Linked DNA regions of Schizosaccharomyces pombe. Changing the gene in region 2 together with the main gene of any one other region gives a genetic interaction. Each region holds a gene or a part of one and is shown on either strand. Other genes may lie near its edges.

The links. Genes that interact genetically often act in the same process or in processes that back each other up.
Region 1: mutations in ist1 (region 2) and opy1 together harm fitness less than expected from each alone (positive genetic interaction), as found in Schizosaccharomyces pombe (one large-scale study listed by BioGRID).

What each region holds. Positions count from the first base shown.
Region 1 is NC_003421.2:944,016-948,259, forward strand, and holds opy1 (protein opy1), read right to left. Parts: upstream 2,370-4,244; 5' UTR 2,246-2,369; coding exon 2,126-2,245; exon of another isoform or gene 1,845-2,125; coding exon 1,782-1,844; exon of another isoform or gene 1,732-1,781; coding exon 1,656-1,731; exon of another isoform or gene 1,618-1,655; coding exon 857-1,617; 3' UTR 501-856; downstream 1-500. Other genes in the region: pog1 (DNA polymerase), read left to right, coding at 1-457; ade10 (bifunctional IMP cyclohydrolase/phosphoribosylaminoimidazolecarboxamideformyltransferase), read right to left, coding at 3,817-4,244. UniProt on the Schizosaccharomyces pombe protein: Binds phosphatidylinositol 4,5-bisphosphate (PtdIns(4,5)P2/PIP2) at the cell membrane.
Region 2 is NC_003421.2:1,795,541-1,798,908, reverse strand, and holds ist1 (MVB sorting pathway protein), read left to right. Parts: upstream 1-1,658; 5' UTR 1,659-1,668; coding exon 1,669-2,001; intron 2,002-2,014; exon of another isoform or gene 2,015-2,070; coding exon 2,071-2,151; exon of another isoform or gene 2,152-2,226; coding exon 2,227-2,628; 3' UTR 2,629-2,868; downstream 2,869-3,368. Other genes in the region: ATP-dependent RNA helicase Dbp6, read right to left, coding at 1-917; zta1 (NADPH quinone oxidoreductase/ARE-binding protein), read left to right, coding at 2,941-3,368.

The sequences.
Region 1 (4,244 bases), 850 kb from region 2:
ATCCATGAATCATTTAATTAAGAAATATTATCTAGAAGCTCGCCTTTCTTTAACTGTTCATGACGAGGTTCGTTATTTATCATCAGATAAAGATAAATATCGGGTTGCATTTGCCTTACAGGTGGCTAACTTGTGGACTCGTGCGTTTTTTTGTCAACGACTTGGCATCAACGAGCTTCCACAATCTGTCGCATTTTTTTCTTCCGTTGATATTGACCATGTACTAAGAAAAGATGTTAAGATGGACTGTGTAACACCCTCTAACAAAGTCCCCATACCTCCTGGAGAAGAGCTTACTATAGAGTCAGTTCTAGAAAAACTCGAGCAGTCCGGTCAATCACTTGAGCCACTTGAGCAAATTCAGTGTTTTGTGGATGTTAAAGCTACTACTTCAGCAGAGATTACAGAAGAAGACAAAAAAAACATTGCATATTTAAAAGCACAAGCATTTTACTGATCAGCAAAAGAATAATTTATTTTAGTTAAAAAATGTGTTTTTCGGTTAGGATAATTTTAGGGATAGTTATGACATTGAAAATAATTTTCATCAAAAGGTTTGTTTAGTGGAGCGAACGATGGTACTACAAACTGGCTCATGACGAAGGAAAAAAATCATTAAATTAGAGCAAGAAAGACACTTTTGTAACTAGCTGTGTCGATTTTCGGACATTATCGGAAATATTATTAGACAAAAAAAAAACAACGAGATAGTCAAAACATATAGAAACAGAACGGATCAACACGTATGTACACGAAGGGTAAGGGGAGTCTTATGAAAGGAAATCACAAGAAGGTAGCTAGAAAAGTAGCTGAGGAATCGTATTATGCACCAAATATTTTGATGGAAAAGCCATTTTTAACAAGCAGTAAAAGTACCATTGGCCTTGTCAATAGAAGTCTTAAGTGCAGCAACCCAGAGTATAAGTGAATCTTCGTTATCAACGCGAAATTCGATAGGTTTGTTTTGCGTAATTACGGTAAAAAAGTATTTGTGTGAGCTTTCCGGAACGTTTATTTCAGCAACATCCTGAATGTCGGCTATCGGTATCACTTTAACAGGTTTGTACTCTCGGTTCGTGTTGTAAATAGTCATACCATATCCACGAACAACAGCCCAACACTTGGACCACCTATGTAAATTTCCATGTAGCCAGTGAATGGTTCCTTGCATAAGAACTTTATTTTCATCCAAGAGTTTATAGAGATTTTGTAAGGAAGCCGAATGCCTGTGCTTATTCAGCGTATTAACTTCTTGTGGGTTGAAGGGGTAATTTGCATTTTCTTCATTGATACCTGGTGGTCTCAACTTTCCAAACTGTATCAAATCATAAAGTGAAGTACAGAAATGGTCACCCTGACCAGTTTCCAAGTCTAAAGGAGAAGTCGTTTGATTACGAGGTTCAGTCGAAATATTGTCGAAGTCAGTATCAGAGATCTGAACGTTAGGCTCGCTTTCGGTTCGAGATGAAGAGTTCGCAAGGATATAACTGATAGGATGTCTTGAAAACGGTGCCCTATAACCCGTTGTGGATCTTAGAACATGAACCCATTCCTCAGCATCCTCATTTGAAGTGGCAATGAGACGAATTATCTTTTCATTTAAATACAGGAAAAAAGCTAAACATTAGATATAAACATCAAAAATTCTAACGTACTTTTTGGTGATTTTTCTTTGTAGTAGGCAACAGCTGAAATATCCTGAGTAGGGAAAATAAATTTGGTTTTGTACTCCTTGAAGACTGTTAGCGCGTCGTTGAAATTTGCACATTTTATTCACAAACCTTTTCGTCTTTGTAAAAAGATAACTGATCTCTGCGAAGAACAGCCCATAATTGCTTTTTAGTCTAGGTTGTTAGCATCCACTACAAAAAAAACCATGAGTGCAAATATTGACTCTGAAACGGGAAGCAAATAATTGGAATATTCTGAAAATCAATTGGTCAAAGTGCTTGTAGGGTGCTGTTTGCATCATCATATCCCCAAATCAAAAGCGAACAATAAAGAATTAAGAGTACGTATCATTCACTTCTAAGTACACTTCACAAAATTAAAGAATACTCCAAATCCCTTTCCACTCAAACGTATCGTAAATATTACTCAGACAACTAAGTTAATGAATACATACAGAAGTTGCATGTCCTTTCTTTATCAACCATCCGGATTTTAAAACACGCTCAAGCTCTGGAAGCCTTCTTGCTTCATCAAGGCTAGCAGTTCTGAGATGCGATGAAACTCCTGGGTCCATTTCATCAAGCGAATAGTCAAACTAATAAACGCCTTCTTTCTTTTGAATACATCAAGAAAATTCCTTAAACTGAAAGGTGTTAAACTAGAACGATGTAAAGTCGTCCTCTATACAGATTTTGGTTAAAATCACGTTTCCTAACGCATACGTGTTAGTGGTACCAGCGACGTACATATTCAGTAATAGCGTTCATTAACGTATCGCTATTTGTCAAGTGAAATTAAAATGTATGGTAGAGAAATTTCAATAATAGAAATGATAGTACGAATAAATTGTAGCAGTAGAATTGAGAAGCCTTCTTTTTGAAAAAGGTAGTCTGAAAATATGTCATCTTTATTTTGAGAGGCATACAACCATATAGTACATGGACACAGTAATCGTGTAGAAGTGCTACATCTCGTATACTAATTAAGAATCAAAAGAACTTTTGTAAATCCTACTGTTACAGAAATTCAACTTTAGGTTGTATTGGTGCACAGTGGTAAGGGATTGTTGTAAGGACTGGCAGGATGAAAACAAAAAAGCTATTTAAAGGGAGCACTTGTTCGCTGTAACAAAAAGAAAAGCAACAAGAAAGAAATACTTTTTTAAATATTTTTTAGAGAACCACTTTCTCTAATGTAGAAAGCGTTGGTCTTTCCCATTCGGTTCGAGACCTATGAAAGCTACTCAGTAGATACTGAGTTAGTAGGGAGTAGGGTTTAAACGTGATTTTAGCATGGTTTCTTGGAATAATAATAAAAATTCCCTTCCGTCCTCTATGCCATCTTCTTTATGCTTCACTTTACGTCCAGATAGTTGATAGTTTCCGGTCTTGTAAGATGATTATTGATATGGTAAATCAATCACAATCGAATGAAAGATAAAAGAATAAGAGTATGTAACCCTTTAAGATGGGAAATATATCAAGCAAGAATGGGGTTAAAAAAAAAACAATTTTAAAGTCATTAAATCCTTTTTAATACCATTAAATAGTACTAATTTTGCTCGTGAGTAACTAAGGTCGGGTAGCATAGTTGGTTATTGCGCACGACTGTTAATCGTGAGGTCGAGGGTTCGAGTCCCTCCCTGACCGGATTTTTTATGCTTCAAATCAACTGCAGCAAAAACATACGCTCAATCAATTTAATAGAAATTTGCAAACACCCAAGAACATGTTTAACTCAGTCAGTTTACTGCGAAGCTCACATCCAAAAAGCAGGTTTGATGGCGTTTTCCTTTCTACTTCATATGTTAGCTTAGCAACCAAAAATGCTTTATTGAGCCCGTTATGCTGTGAATTTCCAAGCTTTCGAATAAAATTGTTGCATTCGTGTTAAACAATAAAAAATATTTTCCCTACTATTACTGAAATAAAATGCCTTGAGTATCGGAAATCTTTTCAAAATTCAGGATACAAAAAAGATGCCAAATTTTTTTATATTAAATCAAAAAAAGTAAAAGACGTTGAAGTCTTTATTGTAATACCTCTATTAAATGATGGTATAAACTGAGGAAACCTATCAAATATACAGAACAAAAAAAATTATATCCATAGTAATAGTGGTCAAAAATTAGGTATACAAACAAGATTAATGGTGGAACAAACGCAAGGGGATCTCGGAAAAGACCATGTTGAACTCATTAGCAGTGTCGCGAACAGCTTGATCCATGACACTACCGCCAGGTGCAGCAACATATTTGACACCGCTTTGGGCAAGACGATAGATGTTGTCAGGGAAGGGGAAGAAGGCATCACTGGCACAGACAACATCCTTGCAAGTAGCCAAAAATTCCTCCCGCTCCTTTTTAGTAAGAGGCTCGGGAATAGTCTCGAATGCAGACTCCCATTGCTCACGTTCACTACCTTCAGCAGGAACGGCATCAAGGACGTACAAGTCAATAGCGTTAGATTTCTCAGGACGCTTAGCAGACTTCTTAAATTGCATACCCAAGACTTTAGGGTGATGACGAAGCCACCAGTTATCAGCCTTATCACCGGCCAAACGGTTGCAATGAA
Region 2 (3,368 bases):
ACCCAGTCCTGAAAGCTTTGATCGAGCAACCGGTCAGCTTCATCAATTACCATGTAACGCAAATGTTGCAAAGAGAAACTTTCGTCATTTCGGATATGGTCAACTAATCGACCTGGAGTGCTCACCAACACATCAATACGACATTCGTTCTCATCACCATTTAGTTGATATGTTTCATGTCGTAAACTTTTTTGACCAGTCCAGGCACAAACTTGTAAACCGGCACCAGACATATAATACTCAAAGGTTTTAGCAACCTGGACTGTCAATTCTCGTGTGGGAACAATAACCACACAACGCAAACGAGGTACTGTACGGTGACTAAGACATTGGACGATGGGAATCACATACGAAAGAGTTTTACCACTGCCAGTAGCTGCACTTACACAAACATCTCCACCATAACTATACATCGGACCGTGTCTTCCATCTTGTAAGAGTAACGGTAATACAGCAGCCTGAACAGCAAATCCACGGGTGATGTTCTGTTTTTGAAGTCGCTCGACAAGTTTACTAGATATATTTAAAGACGAGAATTCCACAGTTGTATTAGGATCGACAGTTATGGGCTCAGCTAGCCATTTAGGCAAGACAGAGGTGATATTTTTAACATGCGGTTTTGAATCTACAAAGTCTTCAACTGATGGTTGTGGAATTGGTAACAAATCATGAGGTTGAGCTTCAGCATCAACATCCTGCATTTCTATATCTCGCTCATTGTCTTCCTTTCTCGATTGCTTTAAAGCTTGTTGTGCAGCTTGTGAAAAGCTAGCGGATTTCTTCAATCTCTCAATGGCAGCCTCAGAAGCAGTAACATGAGTCTTATTCTCGTCATTAAGCCATTTTCTTTTATTTCTCTTGCTCTTTTTTTCAATTTTAGGCTTCGAATGAGAAGATTTATCTACTTCAACAGACATTGCTCGAATACCAGTACTTGGTACTGGTTAGAAAAAATACTCTTTTGAATATGTGATATGGCTGCTTGTGCTAAACTTGACTATAGCTTAGGAGATTTTAGTAAAGCATAGTATTTATAGTAAGACACTTTATAACCTTGTAAATTCATCGATGATTATTAAAACAACTTGGCATATAGCAATTACAGCCTTACATGGCAAAGATCTATGCTTAAAAGAAATTCAAAAAAAAAAGTCTAATACTAAAGAAGAATGTTCATTCAAACCCATATGTACGTTTCACTAGATCATATTTGGTTTCAGAAATTGCACAAAAAGTGCTTTTAGCAGGGACCGAGCTATCATTGAACATTTCTATTAAATCCGTGGGTTTAAAATATAACTAATACTAGCTATAGATGTAAGAAGCATTTCTCGCAGGACTTTGAGCGTATTGTTCACGAACAAGTATTTAGCAAATATAGATGACTAGAACGTTTTGCTTTCAACTTTTCAATGTTAATATAAAAGGCATCTGAATATTTAGAATAAATATCTAAACATTTGCTAAGCTGAGTTACACCATGAGTTAACGTTTGAAACGCGATATCAACACATTAGCTTCTTGATTTCGAATCCAGTATATATAGCATCCCTTGAATGTTTTTGTAAGATTCCTCAGTTTCTATTTATTTTTATAAATAATTGAACAGTTTCATCGTGAAAACATACTTATCTGGTTATTAGTGTCCTGAGCTTAGCATAAACCAATATGTCAAGACTACAGATACAACTGAAATTAGCAGCCTCAAGGATAGAAATATTAAGACAAAAGGAAGAGGCTTTAGCCAAACAAGCTAGAAGGAATGTTGCTTTGGGCTTAAAGTCGTATTCACCGGCTTTGGCCAAAGCCCGCATTGAACCTTTAATTATGCAGGATATCTATATTGAGTTGTTAGAATTGCTTCAAGTTGATGTAGAAATACTTGCCAATAGGTGCGTAGTGTTAGAGAAACGCGCGTTTAATGATTCTATGTCGTTTAAATCTTCTTTGTATCATGTTATGGCTGCTGCACCTCAGTTACAGATTAAAGAATTGCGATTTGTAAGTCAACAATTAAAGATAAATTTTTAAAATTTAGTTTTTTATAACTAACTTGTTTATTATTTATAGGTTCATGATTTTCTAGTAAAATTGTATGGCAAGGAGTTTGCAAGATTAAGTGACCCTGATCTAGCTACTAATGATACTGCTGTAAGTTTCTGTTATTTATTTTCATTGAAAATAAAAAAACGCGCTAAAAAAAGTTCGTATGCTAATCAATTCTAGTTTTACCAACTTTTATACCCTCCTATTCCAAAGGATGAACTAGTCGAAGCCTATAGAAAAGAGTTAATTCGTACTTATTTTCCAAATGATTATCCTAAAGAAGCTAATAAAGATATCCCATCTTCTGCTGAAGCTGATACAATGTTGAACCTCGAATCTTCTGAGAATCGTGAACAACCTACTTCATTGAAAGAAGAAAACACTCAAGAAGATGATGAAAAAGTGAATGGGAATCTAGCTAACATTTCAAAACGCGCTGAACCTCAGAATAATGGATCAACAAATGCATCCTCACTGCAATCCTCTAACTATTTACCCACAAATCCAACATTAACACATTCTAATAAAGCTCCTTCTTTTGAAGAGCTTGCTGCTCGTTTAGACCGTCTAAAACATTTATAAATATACCATTCTTCATGTATCGCATCTCTGTTTGTATCTACAAACATCCTTTTTCCCTTTTTAATGGTCTTTTTACGAAAAAACAAGATCATGTTTGATTAGTAATTTTCTTCTAGGAGATTCCTTGCCAACTATAAGTTGGGTGTCCTGTATCGACATCGATGCCATTTCTTGCTCATTCAATCGTTGCACTGCGATCTCCATGCCTAACCTCATTATTATAAAACGATAACTATTACCACTCGTTCCCATAATCCTTACTTACGCTTTAAAACCAACTTATTTGCTCTTCTTGTTTAGTAATTTTATAATATGTCAAATTTATTAGTGCAGGTTTCCAAGACCGGCCCATCTTCCGTTTTGCAAGTAATAACGAAGGAAATTCCCAAACCAGCACCCAATGGCTTGGTTATTAAGAATGCATATGCAGGATTGAATTATATAGATACTTATTTGCGAACCGGTTTGTATACTGCTCCTCTTCCTTATATACCTGGTAAAGAGGCAGCCGGTGTTGTTGCTGCAGTCGGCGATAAAGTTGAAGCAGATTTCAAAGTGGGTGATCGAGTGGTCTACCTTACACCATTTGGTGCGTATGCCCAATATACCAACGTTCCCACCACATTAGTTAGTAAGGTCTCTGAAAAGATTCCATTGAAGATCGCTTCTGCTGCTCTCCTGCAAGGCCTTACTGCTTATACACTTATTGAAGAAGCTTATCCTGTGAAAACGGGAGACAC